Linked DNA regions of Coturnix japonica. The protein of the gene in region 3 interacts with the protein of the main gene of each other region in a biochemical or structural test. Links are inferred from orthologs where the notes say so. Each region holds a gene or a part of one and is shown on either strand. Other genes may lie near its edges. The genes, in order: KLF5, NFE2L2, GSK3B, RICTOR, NIN, CTNNB1 and LRP6.

Region 1 (2,545 bases), about 68 Mb from region 3:
ACCCTGTGTCGGCACTCTTCAGAAGATGCACAGCTGACGTTTCTCTTCCTTCTGTCTGATTTCAGGTGAAAAGCCGTACAAGTGCACGTGGGAGGGCTGTGATTGGCGATTTGCGCGCTCGGACGAATTAACGCGCCATTACAGGAAGCACACCGGGGCTAAACCCTTCCAGTGCGCCGTGTGCAACCGCAGCTTCTCTCGCTCTGATCACCTGGCTCTGCACATGAAGAGGCATCAGAACTGAGAGCCATAGTTGTTGCCGAGGCCGTTCTGTATCTATGCAATTTCCTAATGACTCTCAACCTACAACTAAAATTAGTTTAATTTTTGAGGATGGATTATCCATTTAAAAGAAATCTCAAAACTGGAAAATGTATATTTTGTATATTTATGCAGAAAAAGGGAAGACACTATCACAGTACCAGAGTGTTCAAGTCATTTGTTTGCTCACATGGTGTATATGGCTTTAGTCAGCAGGTTTCATCTCTTTACAAGTATTATGTCTTGACACACGGCAGCATTACACATATTTTTTTTTTCTCTCTAGGTGTTTTGACCAAAGCAGTGTCATTATGGTGACGATGTTTAGTAAACAAATTAATGAGAGACTATAGATGAATGGACACAGTGGAAAAGCCATGCATTGTAATCTGTCAGGGTTTTACTGGACTTGTTTAGTACTTGTACTTTTTTTTAAATGTTAAGTCGTTCTGTGGAGATGAAATACGTAGAAAAATTCATAAACAGCCATAGAACAAAACATTTTGTTCTGTATGTTGCATGTTTGCTATGACAAAGATTTTGTAAATATGCAAATCAGCTTTTTAGGGTTAAAACAAAAGTTTTCTAAGAATTATTTGGAAAAAACAAAAAAAACAAACAAAAAAAAAACACAGTTGTTTTACATTTGTTAACACGGCACATTTACACTAAAAGTTATTTAAATACCTCTCAAACCAGTACCAACTTAGCTTCATTTCTCTTGAGAGAAATGAGCAAGGCATTCGGATGTTTTGTACCTGTTAACTCAGATTGTGTGCACTGAATATTCAAAGCAGGATTTTGTTTTCAAATTTCTTAAAAGGGTAAAACATTTAAAGTGAACTGGAAAGTAAACGTTGGAAGCTTAAACGGGGGGGTAGTTACAGTATAAAGAATGTTAAACCTCTTACTATAAGCTAAACTTAGTATCACTTTAAAAAGAAGGATTTAGGATGCAATTTTCATATACGGACATACTAAGCTGGTTCAGCACCAGTATGATCTGTTTTCATGTGGACATTGCGTGTAATTTACTAGAAGGTAAAGGATACAGTAATTTTATTTAAAATTACAGTGCAGTTTAGTTAATCCACTGTTCAAATGGATACGCACGGGGGAAAATTAACTGCTGACAAAGGTAGCTGAAACTCCACTGAAGTCAGTGAAGTGGTGCCCTTTTATGCTAACAGTGACTTTGATCCACAGTGTTCAGCCTTGAAACATTAAGTGAAGGGCCAAAGATGAGGTTAGCCTGTGCAGGATTTGGCCAGGCAACAGGAGAAAACGAAACAAACCAAGTAAAAGTGTCTGGAGTTCACAAGCTGTAATATTAAGCTGTCAACCAAAGGGTAAAATAAACAATCAAAATACCAAAAAAGGGTCTCGCAGGAAAATCTAGCGTTGTGAAAACTGTTGTTTGTCTTTATTTATTTGTGGTATATGATAGACTTTTTTTTTAAGACAATTTTACATATACTTGATAAATTATAGTTTTGTTTGTTATAGTTAGAAATGTTGCTCTTAATGTAAATAGTTGACAAATGATGTAAATAATTTTCTAAGGCTTCAAATGTTTATACGTGGAAACACATGCATAAATTGGTTGCTGTTTTGCTTCTTTTGCCTCCCCCCTACCTTATTTTTGTATTGTGGTATTTCCTATGCAAATGTTGGAGCAAACAGCTGTATAGTTGTAGAATGTTTTGAGAGAGAATGAAATGGTTTATATATAAAAGACTTTTTTTTTTTTTTTTTTTGCAAAATAAAACAAAGTGCCTAATGTGCGTTTGTGTGTTCTCTGTAGCTCCTGACAATTGTAAGTTTTGTGTTTTTGCAGGATGAGCTGGAAATCGCAGCAATATAAAGCCAAGAATGGCTGTTCTTTATAGGAGGGATTGTCTCTTTGGAAAGTACCTTGCCCTTCTGTGTCCAGCCCTCTTTAAAATAATAAATGTGAAAAGATTATTACTTCAGGGCTCTTCTCTGCCACTAGAACTTTAACAGAATTGTGCAGTAGCCTGAAAATAATTCCAGTAGTCCATCCACAGACACGTAGCTGGAAAGGAAAAATACTCATGGCATGTATACAAGAACTATAGGAGTTCTCTCCTACTTTCAAAATGGGTAAAAGCTGTTCACACCCATCTAGTGTTGCCCAAAAGTACTTTCTCCTCCCAAAGTCCCCTTCATGTCCCAGAAAAACAGGAGGGTCCCAAAGAAGTCTTATTCAATGTCATGTCCCCCCCAACAATCCACATCTCCTTTTCAGTATTTTTTATTGGAA
Region 2 (3,500 bases), on a different chromosome or scaffold from region 3:
TCGTAGATGAATAATTCAGAAGCGAGCCCTAAAATCCAGATCCTGCAGTTTTATCCAGAGCATATTGCAAATGCTCTGAGACTAGGAAACAGTTTAGAATCTGCTGCAGAAGGAGACAGTGAGCAGCTGGTAAACTACTGGCCCTTAATGAATCTATACTACACTGCAGCATCTCCAATTACTGCGGGACTTAATTAGTTCATTTTACCCTCCAATCTGATGAGACCGAACATTGTCTTGGGCAGCCACTGCAATTATTTCAGCTTCTTCCTTGCTGGCCATTAAAGCTGAGTTTGGTCTCTCCCAGCAAGGTATAATATATATGTCTTAGGTGTCAGAATGCCCACGTTGTGTTACACGGGTATTATATAGAACTGCCTGATTCTAAAAGAAAGTAAGCTTTTTTTTTTTAGCAACCGGTAGAAGTACATCATGTAATGTGTATGTATGAGTACAAATGGCATTGAACTGTTAATGAAGAGATTATGGTCTGCTCAGATGTGGACTCCCACTAAAGCCATTGCCGTTGTACGGAAGCAGTCATTTTGAAAGGCAGTGTGATGTGACGTGTAGGTTACTTTGCTTCGCTGCCTGAAAACACTCTTAACAGAGAAAGGAATGTTTAATTTGATATGGTGGAAAATGTAATGTACCTTGGGTGTAACTGCTCACTGAATCAATCAGCAAAGTCCTGTTCAAGTGAAATATGATGTTTATATACTCGTCGTTGTAGTAAGTTGTTGGACTCCTTTCTCAGCCAATACAACAGGATGCAAGAAAACAGCCACAAGTTGTGCCAGAGGAGGTTTGGGTCTCACACTAGGAAGAATTTATTCATGGAGAGGGTGGTTAGGCACTGGAATGGGATGCTGTCGTGGCTTTGGCAGGAACAGACTTAATTGTTGGCTGATGATTTCTGTGTGGTGTATTTTTCTTAGAGAAGAGTCCAAACTTCACCAAGAAATATTGTTTGAACAGCATCAAAATATGAAAAATTACTCAGAGCCCAATTGATTAATAAAGTTTGACAGCTCTTGATACGTGGTTTATACTCAGCTCCAAACCAGTCACACTTACAACGTCAACTGAAATTAAGCTTGGAATTACAAATTTTTAGCGATAGTCTTAATAATTTTGCCAGGCACTCCCATGATGTTGTGTGAGGTGGGGACCTCCGGCTTTGTAGCACCGTTCTGCTGATCTTAAGATTCATACTTGATGCCAGGATGGACCATAAATAGTTAAAAACGCATTTTGAGTATGGTTATTGTAGCAACTCAGACAACTCCTTGTGATGTTCTTAATCAGCTTTTACAATTTGATAAGATTATACTGAAAAAGAATTACATGGATAAACTTCTTAATTTCTGTTTTTTTTTCTTTTATATCATTTTTTGTTTGTTTGTTCATTTTTTAGTTTCTTACTGTAATGTAATATCGCTTCATGTATTCTGTGGGATAACATAGGAAAGAATACTATCTGGTTTGTGTGTTGCCTTACCAACTGCAACAAACTGCTTAGTTTCCATGACCCAGTGTGTGGGCTGCAGCAACCAAACGTTCAGTTCACACACTTCAGGAAGGTCATATGGAGACATATTTCATTTAGACAATTTTGTAGGATTAAGAGAATGAATCTCACTTACATGAGTCTACCTGTTTAACGCAGAATTTAAAAGCCTTCTTATTGTTTTAAACCAGTTCTACTGGGGAGGAGGCTTGCTTCAAAACGGCATTTCTATTACAGGACATGAACTTGATTGACATCCTTTGGAGGCAAGATATAGACCTTGGGGCAAGGCGTGAAGTTTTTGATTTTAGTCAACGACAGAAGGAGTATGAACTCGAGAAACAGAAGAAACTTGAAAAGGAAAGACAAGAGCAGCTCCAGAAAGAGCGGGAGAAAGCCTTGCTGGCTCAGCTGGTGTTAGACGAGGAGACAGGTGAATTTGTTCCAGCTCAGCCAGCTCAGCACATTCAGTCAGAAAACGCTGAACCACCAATCAATTTTTCTCAGGTAAACTCTGATTGTGTTTGTGAGTGTGTTTAAAACACTTTTTCCATCCACAGGAGGGTATAATGCTAGTGGTTGCCTAAAATGAATTTGCATTTGTTGCTGTAATGGAAGATTGTTCAGTTATTCAAAGATGCAGTAACATTTTTTCTTCACTACTTTCCTGTTTAGAGCACAGATACTTCAAAACCAGAAGAGGCCTTGTCCTTTGATGACTGCATGCAGCTCTTGGCAGAAGCATTCCCGTTTATAGACAACAATGAGGTAAGCGCTCAGTGCAGCGGTTACACGGGTTGTGTGCCAGGGGATCAGTTTCCTATTTTCTCATACCAGGATGTGTCTGCAGTGAAATATTAATTCGTGATACAATTTGAGTGCTGTCCCTAAGCCATCTGTAACTGGAATAAAGCCGTGTCGTGGGCTTGAACTAGGGCTGTATCAGGAGCAGATGGCATGGCATGGTGCTCTTGTATTCCTTGTGCTTATGGAGTCCTGCAGGCCATTTTACACTGGCTGATGGCAGTCAGGCTAGTTGCTGCAAGTAGCAGAGTTGTGCAGTTTGTTGCAGTGAGCTTAGTTCAGCTCTCTGCAGTTGGTGTATTTGGGCTGCTTTACTTTGATGTACAGACCCAGACTATTTGGCGAGTAAAAATAAGATCTTCATCACTCAGTTCATACTTTTTCCTGTTTCTGTCCTTAATGTGAAATAATGTGAAAACTCATTTCATGTGAATACTTTTTAGATTATTTCATTATATATAGTAAATGCTTTCATTAAGAAATGCCTATTTATTCTGTAGAAATGGTAAAACAGCAAAAGCGGATTTTTGCTTTGGAAGATTCTAAGTGTATGTTTGTTTGTTCAACACTCCAGGCTTCTCCATCTGCATTTCAATCACTGGTTCCCGATCAGATTGATAGTGACCCAGTCTTCATTACTTCTAATCAAACTCAGCCACCCAACTCACCTGGTATAGTTCCACTTGCTGATGCAGAGAATATGCAGAACATAGAGCAAGTCTGGGAAGAGTTATTGTCCCTTCCGGAGTTACAGGTAAAAGTTTAGTATAATAATCATCAGAACTTCATCATGTTTGACAAATGATTGTTTGCATCTGTATGCAACCTGTTACAGCACAACCATGGTGGAAATAGGAGCTGATTGGAAATAGACACTTCTGAATTATAGAACTACAGCATAAATTGTTTCTGCAGTCATTACTGTAAACGAGTTTGGTTTTTTTTCTCCTAGTATTTAAGTATTTTAAATGCAAAAGTAATCATGTAGTATTTACATAAATTTTATCTAAGAAAAGGGTTTGTATAAATAAAAATAGAATGTACAGATATATTTCTAACAACACTTGGCTCTTCTGTTTATCTCATTTAACTATTTAACTGTATATTTGTTGGTTGAAACTAATTATATAATGTACATGAACTGAGTATTTCAAGGGAACAATAGACAGCACAAAATCACTGAGTT
Region 3 (4,075 bases):
CGTGAACCAATCGGCGGAGCGTAATCGAGACAGCGCGCCCTGCGATTGGCTGTCTGGCTTCGGCTCCCTTCGGGTTGGCTCGGTAATAGCCGGAAGAGAGGCTTTCTTCCTATTGGCCGCCCGACTGCGCTGCTAGGGCGGTGGCGGCGCCTTCCGATTGGGCCTCCGCCTGGCTTCGGGGGGATTCGGGTGCGTCCGTAAGGGCTTCGCGATTGGTTCCGATCCGTCACAGGCATTTCCGTAACCGCCTCGGGATTGGTCCCGACGACGCTCGGGTATTTCCGTCAGGGCCTCGGGCTGGGGGCTAACGAGTGCGTCGGGCGCTTCGGGTGGCTATTCACAGAAGGCGCCTAGGGCCGTTCCGCAGCGTAGGGCGGCGACGGGCATAGGCGGCTGCGCGGCTTTGGCGCACACACAGAGCGCAGCAGCGGGAGCCCGGCACGCAGCGGAGGCAGCAGCGGGGACAAAGGGAGCGACCAACAGAAACGGGGAGGGGGGCCCGGCGAGAGGCAGCCGGCGCCAGAAGGGAGCGGCGGGAAGCTTCAGCCGGGCGGACGGCTCCTCATGCGCCTCGGACGCCCGGGGAAGCAACAGCGAGAGCCGCCGGCGCTCTGAAGCCGGCTGAGGACGAGCTGGGAGCCAACGCCGCCGCCATGGCCCGCACCGCCGCCGCCGGCCACCGCCCGCACTGCAGCCTGCCCAGCGTGAGCCGCCGCCAGCTGCCCCTGCGGGAGCAATGAGGAGCCGCGCCGGAGCCGCCTCAGCGCCGCACTGAGAGCACACACACACACACACTGCGAGCCAGCCGGGCACACCGCGCCGCTTCACACCGCTCCGCCCGCCGCGGATCCCGCCGCCGCCGCCGGATCCCGTTGCGCGGGGCCGCATCGCCTCCCGTCGGCGGATCCAGCAGCTCCGAGATCCCTCCGCCGGGGGAAAAGTAGTCCCGCCGCCTCCCTCCCTCAGTGGCGAAGGGGGAAGGAGAGGAGAGGGCAGGAGGCAGAGAGAGGAAGGAGGCGAGGAGAAAAAGAAAAGAGAGAGAGAAAAAAAAAGAAAAAAGGCAAAAGACATAAAGGGGAAAAGGAGAAGAGAGAAGCCGAGCGGCAGGATCGGAGGAGCCGGGCCGCGAGCCTCCGCCCCATGTGACTGGGCTGAGGGTGGGGGCAGCGAGGCCTAGCACCGAGCACAGCCCCGCTGCTCGCGGCCGGCCCGGGGGGCTGCGGCTGGGAGGAGGCGGCTCTCGGACCCACCGGCACTGCGGGAGGATGGCGCTGTGAGCGCCGGGAGGAGCGAGGCCGGAGAAGAAAGGAGACGCGAGGAAAGGCCGGCGGGGAGAGCGAGAGGGGAGGGGGCTTCCCCGGGGGGGAAGGGGCCGGCGGTTCATGTGGCACAGCTCGCCCTTCGCCTCCCGCTGAGCCCGCAGCACACAGCCCCGCGAGCAGCCCCGAGGAGAGCGGAGGAGGCGGACAGCCCGACGGGACGCAGCCGGAGCCGGAGACCATGTCCGGGCGGCCCAGGACCACCTCCTTCGCGGAGAGCTGCAAGCCGGTGCAGCAGCCCTCGGCCTTCGGCAGCATGAAAGTCAGCCGTGAGTATCGGGCCGTTCCCTGCCGCCCTCCTGCCCTGCCTCGCGTTCGTCTCGGGTGGGCCGCGAGCTCGGCCGGGCCTGCGGGGGACACAAAAAGGCCGCTCCCGGCCCTGCCCTCGGCCCCTGCCGGCCGTGCCGTTTCGCCTCCGCGGGGGGCTCCTCGGGGTTACCAGCACCCCTGTTCTGCCTCCTGCCTCGGGGAGGAGGGGATGAATGACGGGCACGCGGGTACGGCCGTGACATTGGTCCCAATGAGGTGTTTTGTGCCCTCTGAAGGAGGGAGATGGAAGAGGTGGGGGGGGAGCTCTGTATCAGGTGTGGGAAGCCCACGGCCCGGCCTATTAAAGGCGGAAGAAAACGGGGGGCTATTACAAAGGCCGTCCGAGGGGGTTACAAAGGGTGTATCATACGCTGCTAATGATCCCCAACGGGAGGGAGGAAGAAAATCCTCATTGTGGCTTGCGAGTGGTTGTTTCGAGCTGCCTTGCCCAGGTTTTCTCAACGGGGATATTTTGAAGAACGAGGCCTGTGCTTTATTCCACACGGGCATGCTGGAAATGATCGGTGCTTGATGGGTGCCCACCCTTTGCATTGCAGCTGGTGGGCTCGGCCACACTATATGAATGGAGAATGGGCATTGCTTCTCGGTACGACCAGAGAAAGGCCCAGCTGCGGGTCACCTACAATGAACTATATCTCTTGAATGGCAAATAATTCCTGAAGGTTTCTTTGAATACGTGCCTATTAACAGTCAGATCATTGCCGATTCATGCTACGGGCTTTGTTTTCAGTAATATTCCCCCCTTTTTTTTTTCCCCTATGGAAATGGAGGGCTGGGTCTTTATGGGACCTGGAGCGCTTGATGGGCGTTAAGGTTTGATTGATCCGTTTGATATCCCGTGTGGTCACACCTGGCACTGCTGTGTGCGGGTTTGGTTCTTGGTGTTGGAGGCTTTTCAAGCCGGGGCTCTGCCCGGCTGGGGGTTTTTTGACAGATGAGAGAAATTCTGACGTTTTTCTGCATCAAAATGTACTTCCGCTGCGGTTGAAGCCTTGAGGAGAATATTGGGCTGAGGTTCTGGAGCTGCTGCTTTGTATCTGCATGATCAGGGTGCCTGCTGCACTCCGAGTGCCCTTTATACTCTTATATGCTGCTAAAACGGGTTGTGTTTGATCTGGTTCAAATGTATTAAAGATCTTAATTCACACGGGGGGGGAGGGGGGAAGGGGGAATATTTAAGACTCCATTTTAATGTATCGATTTATTTCACGTGAGCGTGGAATAGGAAGCAGGTTTTGTCGCTGGGTATTTCTGCAGGTGGCTGTTTAACGCTATAGCCACACTTAGCCCTGCCACGCTCCAAAGCTAAATTTGCCTTATTCGAGCTGTACGGCTCGATTCTTGAAAGGTCATTGATGCTCCTTTCCTGTTTGTTTGAGGTCAGAAACCAGACAGATGCTCGCCTTCGAAGCGGGTGCTAAGTGATGCAGACTAACAAGTTTGCAAATACGATTTGATCCCAAGTGTGGAACACGGAGGGAGAAACAAAGGCCGTAGCATAAAGCACACGCACTTGTGATAACCCCCCCCCCCAGCCCCTCCTCCCCAGTCGCTCTAGTCATGTGCTCCTGGTCCTTCTGCTGTCTGGAAAAAAATGTCAGAACAAAGCAAGAGAACCGCATGCAAGGACTGTGTGGGAAAGGCAGGCGTATTTTTCACTTAATCTATCCGTGTAAGACAGTGCAGGAAGTTTCGACTTCTTATTTTCCTTTGTAAGAGAGCAGCGCCACTGATTGCCAGAAAGGGTGATATTTTACTGGTTCTCTTGAGATTGTGAAGCAGATGGAAATGGATGGATTGCTGCTCTTTGAGTCCTGTAGGCAGCTGTTGTATCCCCATCTTGATTCAGACCTTCTCCAGGTCACCAGGAAGCAAAGCCTATCCTCTATGCCAGCCTTTTTGCTCGCCTTTGTAAGGCTGGGGTGGTGGTGAAATGAGGTGGTGAGGTCACGCTTGCTTTGGTGACCACCTTCTAGCTGATCCCGGCAGTAGTTCCATTCCTTTGAAAGGATTCAAAGGACGAGGTGGAAGCATTGAGGAAGGAATGGAGGAGGGTGTGTTGGACCTTGTGTTAGAGAGCTGGAGTGTGGTGATTGCTCTTCTGCTCAGGATATGGCAGGCTTAGGCCCTGGAACAGGCTGCCCAGTGAGGTTGTGGATGCCCCGTCCTTGGAGGTGTTCAAGGCCAGGTTGGACGGGGCCCTGGGCAACCTGATCTAGTAAAGGTGTATGTTTGGTGGCCCTGCCAGGCAGGGGGGTTGGAACTACATGATCCTTGAGGTCCCTTCCAACCCGGCTCATTCTGTGATTCTGTGAAAGGGGGGAGTGGCCATTGACTTTTCCATCTTTTTAGACTTTGTGCTCGGAAGTTGTTGAGAAGCTTGAGCCTTGAATGGAAGGGGATTCCCATCAGGGTCTTGTCCTCTG
Region 4 (4,232 bases), on a different chromosome or scaffold from region 3:
GGGAAAACAGGAAGAAACAAACAAACAAACAAAAACAAGCAAAGAGTTCAGAGAACTATTTTGATTATTAAACAGTGTCACATTTCTGCAGGCACAGAATGCTAGAAGAGTCAGCTGGAGTTTAAATATCACTCCAACAAGTCTTGATGTCCGTGCTGGAAAATGTTTTTCTACCACAAAGCAGTGTGTTTGTCTGACCATATATCTATTAGGGAAGAATTAAGTGCAGCATGGAACCAGCACTTCACATGCAGATTACAGGTTCAAGTCCAACTGAAAAGCTTAAGACAAGGCCATCACTCCACGGTGCTTCAAAGCTGATGTGAAATTAATGAGTCCCAGCAGCACCTCTAGTAAACAGGATGCAGTATTACTACCAGAAGCGGTGGTTAATTTGGCATTTTCAGGAAGTCAAGGGTTCCCTGGACATGAAATTTCAAAGGGAACCCCTGAGGCAAATTGATGAAACCATTAAAGCAAGTCTGCTACACTTTGGTCTTGTGTTAAGCATGAATGAGATCTTATTATTTCTACCTTTAAGTTTTGTGAACCCGGAATCCATCAAGGACATTAGTCTCTTGTTTAATAAGCGAAAACTGAAATAGGAAATTGTAGAAAAAGGCTTTATAGACTAAATAAAGGTGACATAATCCTATTAAAATAATGTTCTCATATGCATATCATGAGCTGAAAGTTGAAAGGAACGCCACAACCCCTCTGCTCTGGCTGTAGAGAGAAGCTACTTTTAACCATTGAAGTCAGTGCTAATTTTTAGAACACCAGTTTTTAGCGTGGTGGTTTAGGATCTGAATTGAAAGACAACCCATGACAAGGAGGGAAAGCCAAAGCATTGAAACTCACTGCAGTCGTTGGATCTATGCCTGTAGGGCCCATCCTGCACTTCAGCACGGGCTGCAGGGAGTGCATGTAGGGTGGGTTTCTGCCTGGAAAAGACAAGGAGGTGTAGGATAATCTGCTGGGTCTGCACAGGGCCCTCCTTCAGCATAAGCGTTTCACACATACGCTGATTTTATTAACAAATCTCAGGGAAACAAACAGGTCCACGCTGCAGGGACCCACCGCAACTCAAACAGCGCAACGAAGGGATGTTATTTTCCTTTTTGTTCTTAACTGCACACACAGGGATGCACGCTGCCACCCGTCATCCCACGAGCCACCACGGGGGCAAGTGCAGCTGTAGAAAAACGAAAACCGAGCACGAAAACCTCACAAAATAAACAGAAAACCCACCCAGAAACACCCTCTCCTGAGGGCCGGGCCCACAGTGCGACGCCCACAGCCACCTCCCCCCCCCCCCCCCCCCCCCCCCCCCCCCCCCCCCCCCCTCAGTGGGCGATGTGGGGGGGGGGGGGGGGGGGGGGGAAGGCGGGAGGCGGGGCGGGGCGGAGGCGCCGTACGCGACCGTGGCGGCTCCGCGGAGCTTTTCTCGCGAGAGCGGGCGAGGTTTCCGGTGTTGTGACTGCGGGGCCGTAAACATGGCGGTGAGCCTCCGCGCCCGCTCGCTGAGGCACCTCCGCATCCGAGGTAATGCGCCCGGCCGGGCCGCGCCGCCTCATTCCCGGTGCCCCTCTCGCCCCTCTCACCCGCTCTTCTCCCCCTCGCTGCCTCCTTCTGTTCTTCCCTTGGCTCTTTTTTCGCCGCCCGCTTAACGCGCTCTCCGCTTCTCTCCCCGTCTCCGCAGGTCGCAACGACAGCGGTGAGGAGAACGTCCCCCTCGATCTCAGCCGAGGTACGGCCCGGGGGCGGTGGGATGCGGGTCGCCGTCTGTCCCCTCGCCGCGTCCCGCCGAGGGGAAGCTGCCTGCAGCTCGGGGCCGGCCGAGGGGCCTGGATGCTGCACCGGGGGGCTCGGGGAGCGGGGCGGGGGCTGCCGGCGGGCTGTAGGGAGCGGGATTGGCTGTGGGAGGAAGGCTGTGCGTGGACCCGTACTCTGAGGAGACGGCAGGGTAACCCTGGGGGCGCCTCCGCGGCTGCGGATGGAGTCGCAGCGCAGCCTGGGGCCGGGCGGGCGCCCTGGAGGAGCCCCGCTGCTGCTGCTGCTCCCGCGGCCGCGCGTGTGGGTTTGCTGCAGCTGAGGTGGCCGCTCTGAGGTCCCCACTGCAGTGTTGGAGGTATTCATCTGCCACTTGTCTGCCGACCTGCCCTGCTACCCGCTGCTCTCGGAAGTACGCGGGGGATGAGAGGAAGGAAACAACAATAACGTGCTACACATTAACTAGTTCCCGCTTAGACAAATAACAGCTTGTTCCCTACCTGAATGTATTGTCTTGCTGCATGCTGGTGGGAGGGCCGGGCTCTCCCAAGAAGCAGGATAAATGCAGGAAACAAACTGCCTTCAGCAGCAGCAAGCCTCCTGTGGGCAGAAGATCTTTGTCTGAGGCAGGGGATGAAGTAGGAGCTTGCAGTACTTTATTGCTCAGCGCTAGGACAGCTGCACTCATGAATAGGTCCATTTTGCAAGGAGCTATACAAGGAAGTAACATAATCAATGAGCTGAAAGCAGGCTGTGAAACGTTGATACAGTGTACCTAGACAAGGGCTTTAACACTGTTTCCAACAGTATTCCCCTGGCAAAGTTGGCAGCCTAAGGCCTGGACAGCTACAATTTGCTGGGTAAAGAACTGGCTGCATGGCCAAGCTCAAGGAGTGATGGTGAATGGAGTTAAATCCAGCTGGTGTTCCCTAGGGGTCAGTATTGAGGCCTGTCCTGTTCAATATCTTTATCGATGACTTGGATGAGGACATTGAGTGTGCCCTCAGCAAGTTTGCAGATGACACCAAGCTAAGAGGAAGTGTTGGTGTGCCTCAGGCTAGGATGGCCCTACAGAGGGATCTGGCAGACTGGATTGCTGGGCTGAGGCGGGATGAAGTTCAACAAGACCAAGTAGTGGATCTTCAATTTAGTCACAGCAACCCCAGGCAATGCTACAGGATTGAGGCAGAGTGGCTGAAACAGTGTGCAGAGTAAAAGGACTTGGGGGCATTGGTTTGATGCTTAGCTAAACATGAGCCAGGTGGCCAAGAAGGCCAGTAGTATCCTGACTTGTATCAGATAGCATATCCAGCAGGAGCAGGGAGGTGGTCATCCCCCTTACTCAGCTCTGGTGAATCTCCAGCTTGAGAACTGTGTTTAGTTTTGGACCCCTCAGTACAAGAAAGACATCAAGGTCACGGATTGTGTCCAGAGAAGGGCAGTGATGATGGTGACGGCACTGGAGCATGAGCCTTAGGAGTTGCAGCTGGGGGAACTAGGATTGTTCAGTGTGGAGAAGAGGAGGCTTAGGGGAGACTTTATTGGTCTCTACAACTACCTGAAGTTTGTGGTGAGATGGGGGTTGGCCTCTTCTAGATAACAGTGAAAGAATTAGAGGGAATGGCCGTAAGTTGCACCGGGGAGATTCACATTGGATATTAGGAAAAACTTCTCTGAAAGAGTTGTGGGAGCTGGAATGGACTGTCCAGGAAGGTGGCTGAGTCATTGGAGGCATTCAAGAAGCATTTGTGTGGTCCTTAGCGTGGTACTAAGGGACATGGTTTAGTGGGCAATATTGATTGTAGGTGGACGGTTGGACTAGATTACCTTTGAGGTCTTTTCCAACCTTACTGATTCAGTGTAAATTCTACATAAAGGAAGTATTAATGCTGGCAGTATCAATAGTGCTTTCAGCTTGAAGTTGGGCCGTATCAACAGTTTCATCTCTAAATATGTTTTGTTTGTTTTGTTTTGTTTGTTTGTTTTTGGCTACTGTTTATTTTTAGAATTTTATTCTTAAACAGTTTTACCTTGGACTGAAAGCTATCTGTATCTGTATGTATCTAATTTAGAAATGCATTTAGTTCATGGGAAAAGTTCTGAGTTTTTTTCAGTTTAAAGGAGCAGAGTCTTGTGTTCTACCTCCTCATCATGGCATAGACACTATTGCTTTAGTGTCTTTAACATTAAAACCAGTGTAGCTTCATCAACAGAATGTGGGACGAAGGCTTAATAGTCCAAACACTTTACACAGCTGTTACTGTAAGTAGTGTTATCTGTTTATGAAATTCACAGAATCAGGATTTTAATGAATGTGTTTAGTAACCTTTTTACATTGTGTAACACTGAGTTGTTCTGATGTGTATTGTTCTTACACAAAATTTAAATGTGGGAGTGGTGACTTTTAGATCTGTTGGAGATCTTTTACTCAGGATTCAAAAGGCAACTGTAGCAAGGTT
Region 5 (3,500 bases), on a different chromosome or scaffold from region 3:
GGTGATGCATGGCTTGCAAAGCACGTGCACTGAGCTGCAGCAAAAAGTTGATCTTTTGAGGTAATGTACGCTTGCAGAGCTTTGTGGGAAGCGTGGCAGCCCCACAGCACTCCAGCTTGCTGCCTGCTCCACGTAGAAACTAACCTAGTGTGTCCTGCTGACCATCCATAGCCCTACTGACCGCCCAGCAGCTGCCACATTAACCCCTGTAGTTTAGCTCTAGAAAGCAGTGCCTCAGAATCTGACTGCTGGTAGGTGTCTGAACGTGGATAACCATGGCTGGAATAAACGTGTGCCTTGTTCCTCTGAATGCGACTTAGCACAACATAATACCAGCGACTGATGCAATTGCCTTTGCAGTGTGTATGTGGGACAGCAGGGCCCTCTGTGTTTTAGTGTCTAAAAGATGGTGGTTATGTTTTCAGAATGCTTTCAGCTTTTACTAATATCAGCTCTTTGTTCTTTTCCTTTCTAGCACTGGGTGTTACTTGAAAAGCTACGATTGTTTTGCTTTTTCTAAATAACAGAGTTAACACTAAAGAGTCACAGAGCCATAGAATGGTTTCACAGTTGGAAGGGACCTTTCACGACCATCTGCTCCCACTCCCTGCAATGTGCAGGAACACCCACAGCTCCATCAGTGCACACAGCCCATCCCCTGACCTTGGGTTTCTCTTGGGATGGGGCACCGCTGCCTCTGTGGGCAACCTGTGCCGGAGCCTCTCCATCCTTAGTGTAAATAACTTCTTCCTTACGTCCAGTCCAACTCTCACCTCTTTTAGTTTGAACCTGCCACCGTGCCAGCAGTCTGCTTATGGTGGTGCTGAGCTCTTCAAAGTCACAACTATGTTACTGGTACCTTAAGGACCAGAAGGTGTAGTACAGTATAGAAGTGCAAAACTTCTACTGGCTATCTTAGGTAACTAACTTTGTGCAGGAGTTTTGTACAGCTAATATCCCCTTTCTCGCAATCTGGGAAGCAGTCTATATGTAAAACCTATGTACAGCTCATATGAATAACCCAGCTGCAGCTTTGTTGCTGAGGATCACAAGCGGGTCAGGATTTCAGTGCCTTCTCTCCTTTGGTGATGCACAGATGCTGTTCTCATATGTCTCATCTCTCTGCCACAGATGTGAGGCTGAGAAGCTCAGAGAAGAAAATGCCATTCTGAGAAACAGAGTGACGCTGCTAAACGAGGAGGGCAGTGCTTCCAGCCTGAAACTGAGGGAGCTGAACGGATCCCAGGAGGAGATGCGGTAAGGACTCCATGGGACCACATGTGCACCTTCAGGCTCTCACTGCAGAGTCACATCCTTTCTCCTAAAGCACCTTAGGTGTTGCCTGGACTTTGAAGCAAGCAGACTGTCTGGTGCCACCAGCAATCTTTGTGCTTTCCCCTGGCCTACAGTTTCTCCTGCTCAATCTTAGTGCTGAAGGAGGAGCTTAACCCGTGGGCTGTATCATAGGATGGCCTGGGTTGCAAAGGCCCACAGTGCTCATCCAGCTCCAACCCCCTGCTGTGTGCAGGGTCACCAACCAGCAGCCCAGGCTGCCCAGAGCCACATCCAGCCTGGCCTTGAATGCCTGCAGGGATGGGGCATCCACAGCCTCCTTGGGCAACCTGTTCCAGTGCGTCACCACCCTCTGGGGGAAAAACTTCCTCCTAAGATCCAGCCTAAACCTCCCCTGTCTCAGTTTCAAACCATTCCCCCTTGTCCTGTCACTGCCCACCCTCACAAACAGCCGTTCCCCCTCCTGTTTATATGCTTCCTTCAAGTACTGGAAAGCCACTATGAGGTCTCCTTGCAGTCTACTCAAAGCTAAACAAGCCCAGTTCCCCCAAACTTTCCTCATATGAGAGCTGCTCCAGCCCCCAGTCTTCTAGGAAAGAGATGTATGGGGGTGTCAACGAAGCAGGTACTCACCAAGCCTGTGCAAAGCAGTGATGCAAGTGTAAAATAAAAATCCAGAATGACCATTTATTGTGATGTCAACCAGCTTGTTTTTGCAGGCGTGTATATTAACAAGTGACCCTTATGCTGATGAGCTTTCCTTTTCCCTAGGCAAAAGATAGAGGCAGTGAGGAAGGAGAAAGTGGCTGTTCAGAAGATGGTCGACAATCTGAAAAAGCAGGTATGCAGACTGAGTCCATCAGCTTCTCTGGAGGAACATCACTGAGCAATCATCAGTCCTTTAGACGATGCAATCTGAAGGCAACTGATGTTACTGTAATTGTTTTAAAAATAAATCTATTGTTCAGTGCAAAATTAGTCCTAATTAACACTGCTCTCCCAATTCAGGTAGCAGATCTGAAGGCCAGGAACCAGCAGCTGGACTCTGAAAACACAGAACTGAGCCAGAGAAACTCCAAAAACCAAGCAGATGTGCAGGATCTCAACCAACAGCTGGCAAGGGTGCTGAAACAAAAGGAAAGGGAAGCAGGAAGATGTACTCTGGAAGAGTGGGAAAAGGAGAGATTGGCACTGAAAGAGGAACTAGAAAACAATAAAGTAAAGGTATGGGATAAGTGGCTCTAGTGGGATGGAGCAATTAGGAGGAATTAGCATCTATTCCCCAACCCATATCACTGATCATAGCACCCTCTGTGTAACATTACTGTCTCTCAAACTGAAATCTGAGCCTTTTACTTCTTGCAGTCATCAAATGTGGTGTCCTCCTTGGAGATGGAGCTGTCAAAAACAAAAGTTCAAGCTCATATGTTGGAGCAGGAAAACTGCCTTCTCAAGGAGGAGCTGGAGAAGGCAAAACAGGTATGGCACCCTATCCAGGTACCATCAGGTGTTGGCTTAGAGCCACCAACCTGTCTCTTCACGGGCTCTGCTCTCTTGATTGTAATGGAAATAGTTAATTTCTCTAACCAAGTGTCATAATGTAATGTATATTATCAACGACATTGTTATTAATCTTGCAGAAGCCTGTCAGTACAACATACAGCTGTTCAATTGTGGTTGGTTTTGCTTTCTTAGGCTTTGCCAAAAGTTAATCAAGAGCAGTAGATTTTTCACAGTTGGTCTTTGTCATTAAAGACCGAGACTTAAAAACTTTAATACAGCAACATATAAGGCTTTTCTAGCTCGTATTAGTAGGGTGGGCAGGAGAATATCCACTCCTCTGAGGGAGTGGTTGCTTCCACCATGTCCCCTAGCAAAACCAAAGCAATAGGAGTGCCACTTGGAGGGTTTGGCATCTCAGAACTTAAAAAGATAATTTCCTGGAGGGCTTGGCTGTTGTCCATATAAACATGGTTCATTTGGCAGTAAGGATATGATGATAATTAAAGATAATGAAGGCTACAAGTGAAAGTGAATTAGCCTTCCTGATTAGGGTGCTGTGAAGTCTTTGTCTTTTAAGCAGAGCACTCTTTTGATGTTCCCAATGCTTGGGGTTTATAATGGCCTTAAAAAGCAAAAGCAGATGAGATCTATTGAGTCAAGAGTGGATTGTGGCTCGAGTGTAATTAAAGACAGAAGGCTTGAGT
Region 6 (3,500 bases), on a different chromosome or scaffold from region 3:
CTAGGCACTCCTTAAAACCAGTGAGGGCTACGGAAGTTGGCTATGGTGCAACATTTGTCTTTGAAATGCAGTAAATCCTTTTTCTTCATTATTCAGATCCATATTACTGACTTTGACAATGTAATGTTTCTAGTCCTGCCTCCTTCAGGAAACCTGAGGAGGAGCTGGATGTAAAGGAGCTTTATGATCTTTGTGGGGTTGGGGTTTTTCTCTTTGTTTACCTTTTACCTCAGGAGAGGCAACAGCACAAACCTTTGCACCTAGGCTGGGGTTGTTTCTGTCAGAGGCAGCAGTTGGCCTTAGTGATACGCACTGGGAGGAGTCAGCAGCTCCTCTGGGCTCTGTTCTACCCCCTGCTAAGAAGAGAAGGGAGTGGGAAGCGAGATACTGAAGAACGTTCAGTTGCAGAAACCCTAAAAGCAATCGGAACGTACTGCTTTTCCCTGGCTGGCTTTAATCTGTGGTTATTTTTAACTTTGAGGATTAAATCCAATTTCACATCTAAATTAGGAATGCAGGCTGGAATTGCTGGGGGGCTTTATGGTTGTATGAAATGCAGATTAGGACGTTAGAAACTTTGAGGTGCGGCAAGCAGGCTGATCTAAGGTCAGTGCTTCAAAGTCACACTGTATCTGACTGATAATGCGCTTCTGAACACTGGACTGTTCTCACTGCTAACCTGCAGGTGTTCTTCAGCTTTGTTTTTAAGTGTTATTGCCATTCAGTACTGTTCTGTTTCTGCATGGAAGGTGTTAGTGGGACTGGCAAAGTAATGTATGAGGCTTGTGAGGTGCTATCAGGATGTTGTATTGGCAGTTCTACTCACTTAGACAGCCAGGAGAACTTATAAATTAATGGTGAAGTGATAGTTTGAGTTAGTTTCTCTTTCCATTTCTTTACCAGTGCTTACTCCCAAACTTTTAACAGCGTCTGGAAAGAATTGTTTTGTAGCATTTAAGGTAGTGGTGGGGGGAAGGATGTGGAATGCATGAAGCAGATGAAAGCGGCTCATCTCCTCCAGGCTTCAGAGTAGGATCCATTTGGAAGCATCAGCATTTCCAACTGCTTAGCAGCATATTTACTGTATGTTGTGTTGTATCTTAAATCATCTCCGTGCTGCTTATCTGCTTCACAGGCAAATCTGCTGTCCATTTTAAAAGAGCCAGGATAGGGATGCTGCCAAAAATGGTGGGAGCGCTAAGTCAGGACAGGCAGGACTGGTGTTTGTGCAGCAGAGTAATGAGTTTGATCAGGAGCTGCTTGGGGTATCCTGCAAGTAGCTCAGACAGTGAAACGCAGCCTTTCCTCAGCATTGTGTAGTGCCTTTACTGAGAGCCCTGAAACTGCAGGCATGTCTTCTATGGAATTACCATTTACTAAAAGCTGCTCCTGAAGGAAATCCTTAAACTAAGTCTGTCTTTATATAGACTTTATACAAATATAGCGTCAGATGGACTTCGTTCTCCTGACACAGTACAGCAGACCTGTCCTTGCCTTTACTTCATTGTCTAGGAATGTTTTGATCAGCACAGCTCTAACACCGAGCACAGACTGAAAGCTGATTGCTGGAAGAGTTGGTTTCGCTCTCTTCACTAGTTACCACTACAAATGTTTCTATTTGGCTAGCTTCCAGAACAGGCTGTCATTGGCCCTGTGTTAGTGCTGGAAAAAAAACACTACAATAAAACTGATATAGACTAGTAACAAAATAAACCCCAAAACAACGGTGTTGGACTGCAGGGGGAAGGGGAGCAAGTGGAAAGCATGACAGCATCGACTGACCCATTGTGAAGCAGCAGCCTCAAGTTTCTCCTTCAGTGTTAATGAGGAGACAGCTACAGTTGTATGGTACTAGTGCTTTGGTAGTGTTTGGTGATATTAGATGGTGGTGCGTATGTGATTTGATACAGTATTTAATCATAGCTCAGCCTTCCATGCTTTGGATTTCAGGGAAAAAAAATTAGTTTGAATTAATGTATGTATCTGAAGCAGAATTTTTGATTTTTTAAGACTGGTTCAGTTTTCTATTTTAAGTTCACAAAAGAGTGTTTTTATATAGAAAGAAACCTTTCTTCTTGTGGTACAGGAAGTGAGGAAGGAGGTTCAGTTATGAATTTTTCTAACACTGAAATGATAGTAGATTGCCTTAAATGGTCGTTAAGCTTCCTTGGCACAAGTCCTTATTGTAGCCCCATATCAAGCAGTTTTGCTAATATCTTCAGAGTGGTTTTCTGAGAAGGGGATGAGCAATTCCAACATTTAGCTCTTGTTTCTGCAGCACATCCAGGCCATGTAATGTAATGTCTGTACTTCATCTTACACAAGGATAGAGAAGTAAAAAATGGCTCTATCACGGTCATTTTTCACTTCTTTTTCTCTTGTGGCTTTAAGGAAGTGAATGTATCTTACATATAGCCTGCCAGGAAAAGTCTACGTGATATATCTCATTCTTCTGTGTCCATAGGGGGGTTGCTAATTAGCACTGAATATACTCACTTTATCAGTGACGTGGCAATATGTGCTAAGCTTTAGCTTGCAGTTCTACTGTCAAGATATGAAATCCTGTCTTACTAGCTCTGATTAGCGTTTAATAAGTTCTAATCTTGCTCTTTTTTAGAGTCTCTGAAAGGTAGCAGGAAAGAGTTCTGGGAGCACAGCAAGGAACATGGCAACCCAAGGTATATAATTTATTACGCTTAATTTTTTATTAGACCCTACCAGTTGTAATAAAAAAGAGTTAATCTGGCTCCTTACTTTCCTTTTTAACTCTAAGTTGCTTGAATGGAATAATGCCTACTGTACAGCAGCATTTAATACCTTACCACAGTAACTTAAGCCTGTAGAGAGGTTTGTCATCGTAAATGTTTTGAGTCACTTAAGTATGGCCAGGTACCTAATCATACGATGTGGAAAGGGAGCCTTTAAGCAGCAGACTAAGTCATAACAACAGTGATTGCTCTGTATGCTAGTCAGGCTTATAGGTGTCTGCAGTGTTTTGATATAATGTCTCAGTTTAAAATGGCTGTCTCACTTTCTGTGCTACACTCAGCTGGGCTGAGGTAGTTGCTTATAATTGTTTATTTTACTGTAAAATCCTAGTCATGTCTTGAAGGACTAATACATGCTGTGACTAAACCAAATTGTTCAACTATTTCTTACAGCTGATTTGATGGAGTTGGATATGGCCATGGAGCCAGACAGAAAAGCTGCAGTCAGTCATTGGCAGCAGCAGTCATATCTGGACTCTGGTATCCATTCCGGTGCCACAACAACTGCTCCTTCTTTGAGTGGCAAAGGAAATCCTGAAGAGGAAGATGTGGACACAACTCAAGTCCTGTATGAGTGGGAGCAAGGGTTCTCTCAGTCCTTTACCCAGGAGCAAGTTGCTGGTAAGGCCTCCTCTACTACACCAGCTTGTTTAGATATGCAACTTAATAATACTGAAAATAAAATACTGAATCATTATTAATCTAGAAGAATGTTATTTCTGTTTGAGTTAA
Region 7 (4,103 bases), about 5.6 Mb from region 3:
TGGAGCCCAGGATCCCATTTGCTTTCCGAGCTGCAAGAGCGCACTGCTGGCTCATGTTCAGTTTCTCATCCATCAGGACCCCCAGGTCCTTCTCTGCCGAGCTGCTCTCAAAGATCACTCCTCCCAGCCTGTACAGGTGCCTGGGGTTCTTCCAGCCCAAGTGCAAAACCTTGCTCTTTGCCGTGTTGAACCTCATTAGGTTCACCCGAGCCCAGCTTTCCAGCCTGTCGAGGTCCCTCTCAACGGCATCGCTTCCTTCCACCGTATCGACCACACCACTCAGCTTGGTGTCATCAGCAAACTTGCTGAGTGTGCACTCAATTCCATCATCAGTGTCACTGATAAAGACTTATACTTCTTTCTCTAAAAAGTTTTAACTTGCAGTTTTTCCCCAGTAGAATCTCTAAGTCTGATATCATCACATGACTGCCAGAGTCTGATGTCAGAGCCGGTTTGCAATGCCTGGGCCTTTAATCTGGCCCAGATGTTATCTCCTACTGTAATCACAAGAAAAGCTATGAAAATATATGTTCAACAGATACGAAATTAAAAGTTAAATGTTTCCATAAGTTCCTAACAACCCTGAAAAATAATACGGACTTCTGAACGCGAGGATCTCAAATCGTGCTTCAAGTCGTTCTGCCTCGTAGCTTCATCCCACGGAACGGAGGAGAGGAGGGACGTCCCGTGAGATGTAGCACAAATACCGAAGTATCTTCGCCCACGGGGCAGCACCACAGAGATGCTCGAGGAAAGGCTGTGGCACCGCAGCCCGCCCTTCACTCGGGAACCACCACAGCGGCCGAGCAGCCCTCACCTGCGGGCGGAGGGGATCAGCCGCCTTTGTGCGGCCGCCGCCGCTGTGTGACTGAAAGTAGTCCCGTCCCTCCCGGGCCGGTGTTGCTCCGACGGCCGCATCGCACCCAAAAAGGCGGCGGAGGCGTGTGCGTGCGAAACACCGCGGAAATAGTCCCGCTGGAATGCGACGGCGGCGTCGGGCCGGCTCCCCCCGTCCGACCCCTGGCCCTGCCCACGGCCGCCCGTGGGCCGCGCCCGCCCGCCCTCGCCCCACGCCCCGCCCGAGGCAGAGCTGCCCGCCGTGCCGCCGGGCGCTTCCCCGCCGTCGTTGCGTGCGCGCCGCCTCCTGCCCGCCCGCTCGCTCCCCGCCCGAGAAGGCGGGCGGTGCGGCGGGAGCGCGGAGACGGGCGGGCGCGGCGCAGTGCGGGGCGGGGGCCAGGCCGGGCCGGGCCGGGGGAGGAGGAGGAGAGGAGGAGGAGGAGGAGGAGGAGGAGGGCTGTATCCCTGCGCCTGTGCGCGCCCGGCGGAGGCGGAGGCCGGGCGAGCGAGAGAGCGGAGAGTGGATGGCGAGCGGCCACGGCGGCGGCGCGGAGGCCGGCATGCAGGGGAGCGCTCGGTGCCGCTGCGGCGCGGTGGGGCCAGCGGCCTGCTAGGGGGGCTCGGCGGCCGCCCTTCGCCGCTGCCCGGCCCTCCTCCCCGCCTCCCCGCCCGCCGGGCAGCATGAAGTGGCAGCGGAGGGACTGCTCCTCGCCGCCGCCCCGCCGGTGAGAGCGCGGAGCGAGGGAAGATGGGGGCCGTCCTGCGGAGCCTGCTCGCCTGCAGTTTTTGTTCCCTGATGCGAGGTGAGCGGGGGGCGGGAGGAGGAGGAGAAGGAGGAGGAGGCGGTGGGGAAAAGTTGACGGCCGTGTTGCGAGGGGCCATGTTTGCCCGGGCGGGAGGGGAGCGGCCTGCTTGCCGGCGGGGCCGGCCCATTGTTGCCGCCTTCAAGTTTGGCTTTTTAATAAAAAGAGAGTAAAAAGGCACCGAACGGCCCCGGCTCCCTCCGCGGTCCCGGCCCTGCCGGCGGCAACGCGGCTCGGGCGCGAGTGTCTCGGGTCGCCCCGCCGCTCTTCGTGTCCTCGCCAGAGCTGTTCGTTTTCCCTTCTTTTCCCCTTTCCTCCTTTGCCCCGGCGGTTCGGGGCTTCCCCTAGAAGTGGGTTCCCCGCTGCCGGGCGGCTCCTTATCGGTCCCCGGTGCCCGGCAAGGGGCTGTTGCCGGTCCCCCGGGGCGCCTGGGTTCCGCTGCCCCCCTCTGCGATTCCTGCTTCAGGAGGAGGATTTCTGTCTCGGCGTTAAAACCGGGTTTCTCTGGGTATTGTGAACTTAACTCCTGCGTCGGTTTCAGTCTGTTTACTGTTGGGAAGAAATCACCTGCGATGTTTGCATCCATCATCTTGCAATTTTCTCATCTTATTCTGCGCTAGAGGATGCAAGTGGTTAATAACTGATAGTTCATCAACCGTGTTTGATATAGAAAATTACTCCGTTCTCAACATTTATCCACGAAAGATCAATAGAGGTGTTTTGAGCTGAAGGAACTGCTCAGTAGCCGGTTGTTCGATACTCCACAAAACAAAAAATTTTCCACTCTTCCATACTCCCTTCCCTTCTTTTTTTTTTTTTTTCCTATGCATCTGTTTGCCATATTGTATCCTGTTTGTAAGGATACAAGTATACTTATTTAAATACACTGTAACAGTTCGCTTCCAATTGGAGCGGGGAAACTTCAGTTTTCAAAAGTAAGGTTGGATCCAGAGCAGGGAGAGGAATAGTTTCCTGGTTAGTTTTATTATGTAACGACCATACCTGTTCTTAATAAACCACTCATTTGCTTCTCAATTGCAGTTTAATTCAAATGGCAGCACCATTGCATGATATCAGAGCTGCGACAGCCACTTCTTCAAATGAATTTCAGAACAGTGACGTGTCCTGCTGCTCTTTTTAGCGTATCCAGTGATGCTTAAATAAACTTTGAAGAAACATTCAGTTTGTGAACTATCTGGACTGTCATTTCTTCACATCTGTCGTCTTTATCTATTGCCAAGATGTTTGTATCCGAGCAATAGTCCCCTTTCTTCTGTTTCTGTGTGTTCCTTCTGTTGGATCTTCCACCTAAATTCATAGTCTTATGTTTGTGACGTGATAGTAATTTCCTTAATTGTTACTTAAGGATGATATAAGCAGCAGGAACAGCTGAACTCTGAAGAAACAAGAATAAAATATGAATGCATACATCCTTTTTAATAAACAACGTCTTCGCAGGCAGAATTGGTTTGAATAAGATGTGTTGAGTTCATACGAAGTGTCAGCTGTTCCTTAATGAGGCAGAGGCAGTGCCAGAATAAGTATGAATAAGTTTATACATGAAAGTAGAGCTGAAGTGATGACGTTCGCTACTTGGTTTGTGAATTTGGTGCTGTGAAGGCTGCTAAGTCAACTAACTCAGCATTGGAGTTTAAACTCAGCATTGGAGGCTGAAACCTGGAAAATATGTTTGTGAATTACAGCATCCTCTGTTTAGAGAGCTCGCCTCCCTGCTCTTACTTAACAACAACAAAAACAAACACAACACAAATGGACAGAGGCTTACAACTGAACTGTGATTATTAGTGCAAGAAAACTGGCTTATCAGTCTGGAAGGGGGTAAAACTGGTAGCCTGGAAGTGTGGTACCTTATGAACTAGTAAGGACTTGGAGAAGTACTGGACCTTTCTGATCCAGAACTGGAAGCACACCCCAAGGCACCTTTCTGTCGAGTAATCTGAGAACTGTGATAAGCAGACCATACTGACTATTCAAAGGCAGCTATTTAGATTAGTATGAGATGAGCTGATGTCACAACAGCTGGCTGTGGAGGTTTGTGTGAATGTGTTTCTTTGATTTGTTTCTCCCTTGTGCTGTACGATAGGAGAAAGGGATTGCTTTCCTGGAATCTGCCCAGTCTCACCCGCCCGGCCTTTGTGCTCCTCTCTTGGTCTTTGGTTTGATCTGGGGGACTCTGAACTTTAGCAGTGTTTCCTGAGGCTGCTCCTCTAGGATCTGGACAGACAAGTCAGTAAGACCTTTCCTCTGGTCACTCTGTGTGTTCTTCATGGCAGCTGTGAAACCAGTCAAGCTCTTGTTAGGTAACTGGCAATTGCAAAGAGGCAGTAGCAGTGGCATCACATCTGTCAGGGAACTACAGATAAGTGTGAAACAGGTTTCAACTTATTAAAAAGTGTTAAAGAGGTAGTTCTACCTTCCCAAGTATTCTTGGCTTGCTTTTGT

The links.
Region 1: of the proteins of GSK3B (region 3) and KLF5, one has a biochemical effect on the other in vitro, tested with the Homo sapiens proteins (2 studies listed by BioGRID). The link is inferred for Coturnix japonica from reciprocal best matches to the Homo sapiens genes GSK3B and KLF5.
Region 2: of the proteins of GSK3B (region 3) and NFE2L2, one has a biochemical effect on the other in vitro, tested with the Homo sapiens proteins (2 studies listed by BioGRID). The link is inferred for Coturnix japonica from reciprocal best matches to the Homo sapiens genes GSK3B and NFE2L2.
Region 4: of the proteins of GSK3B (region 3) and RICTOR, one has a biochemical effect on the other in vitro, tested with the Homo sapiens proteins (2 studies listed by BioGRID). The link is inferred for Coturnix japonica from reciprocal best matches to the Homo sapiens genes GSK3B and RICTOR.
Region 5: of the proteins of GSK3B (region 3) and NIN, one has a biochemical effect on the other in vitro, tested with the Homo sapiens proteins (2 studies listed by BioGRID and IntAct). The link is inferred for Coturnix japonica from reciprocal best matches to the Homo sapiens genes GSK3B and NIN.
Region 6: of the proteins of GSK3B (region 3) and CTNNB1, one has a biochemical effect on the other in vitro, tested with the Homo sapiens proteins (11 studies listed by BioGRID and IntAct). The link is inferred for Coturnix japonica from reciprocal best matches to the Homo sapiens genes GSK3B and CTNNB1.
Region 7: of the proteins of GSK3B (region 3) and LRP6, one has a biochemical effect on the other in vitro, tested with the Homo sapiens proteins (2 studies listed by BioGRID, with this or other methods). The link is inferred for Coturnix japonica from reciprocal best matches to the Homo sapiens genes GSK3B and LRP6.

Annotation. Positions count from the first base shown.
Region 1 is NC_029516.1:140,002,837-140,005,381, reverse strand, and holds the end of KLF5 (Krueppel-like factor 5), read left to right. Parts: intron 1-65; coding exon 66-244; 3' UTR 245-2,045; downstream 2,046-2,545. UniProt on the Homo sapiens protein: Transcription factor that binds to GC box promoter elements. Activates the transcription of these genes.
Region 2 is NC_029522.1:14,071,236-14,074,735, forward strand, and holds part of NFE2L2 (nuclear factor erythroid 2-related factor 2), read left to right. Parts: intron 1-1,747; coding exon 1,748-2,017; intron 2,018-2,185; coding exon 2,186-2,278; intron 2,279-2,888; coding exon 2,889-3,068; intron 3,069-3,500.
Region 3 is NC_029516.1:71,650,846-71,654,920, forward strand, and holds the start of GSK3B (glycogen synthase kinase-3 beta), read left to right. Parts: upstream 1-1,275; 5' UTR 1,276-1,500; coding exon 1,501-1,588; intron 1,589-4,075. UniProt on the Homo sapiens protein: Constitutively active protein kinase that acts as a negative regulator in the hormonal control of glucose homeostasis, Wnt signaling and regulation of transcription factors and microtubules, by phosphorylating and inactivating glycogen synthase (GYS1 or GYS2), EIF2B, CTNNB1/beta-catenin, APC, AXIN1, DPYSL2/CRMP2, JUN, NFATC1/NFATC, MAPT/TAU and MACF1.
Region 4 is NC_029547.1:11,217,096-11,221,327, reverse strand, and holds the start of RICTOR (rapamycin-insensitive companion of mTOR), read left to right. Parts: upstream 1-1,432; 5' UTR 1,433-1,496; coding exon 1,497-1,545; intron 1,546-1,702; coding exon 1,703-1,750; intron 1,751-4,232. UniProt on the Homo sapiens protein: Component of the mechanistic target of rapamycin complex 2 (mTORC2), which transduces signals from growth factors to pathways involved in proliferation, cytoskeletal organization, lipogenesis and anabolic output.
Region 5 is NC_029520.1:52,545,041-52,548,540, reverse strand, and holds part of NIN (ninein), read left to right. Parts: coding exon 1-60; intron 61-1,131; coding exon 1,132-1,257; intron 1,258-2,064; coding exon 2,065-2,134; intron 2,135-2,301; coding exon 2,302-2,517; intron 2,518-2,658; coding exon 2,659-2,772; intron 2,773-3,500. UniProt on the Homo sapiens protein: Centrosomal protein required in the positioning and anchorage of the microtubule minus-end in epithelial cells. May also act as a centrosome maturation factor.
Region 6 is NC_029517.1:39,920,525-39,924,024, forward strand, and holds part of CTNNB1 (catenin beta-1), read left to right. Parts: intron 1-2,617; 5' UTR 2,618-2,665; coding exon 2,666-2,678; intron 2,679-3,161; coding exon 3,162-3,389; intron 3,390-3,500. UniProt on the Homo sapiens protein: Key downstream component of the canonical Wnt signaling pathway.
Region 7 is NC_029516.1:66,027,037-66,031,139, reverse strand, and holds the start of LRP6 (low-density lipoprotein receptor-related protein 6), read left to right. Parts: upstream 1-1,303; 5' UTR 1,304-1,585; coding exon 1,586-1,640; intron 1,641-4,103. UniProt on the Homo sapiens protein: Component of the Wnt-Fzd-LRP5-LRP6 complex that triggers beta-catenin signaling through inducing aggregation of receptor-ligand complexes into ribosome-sized signalosomes.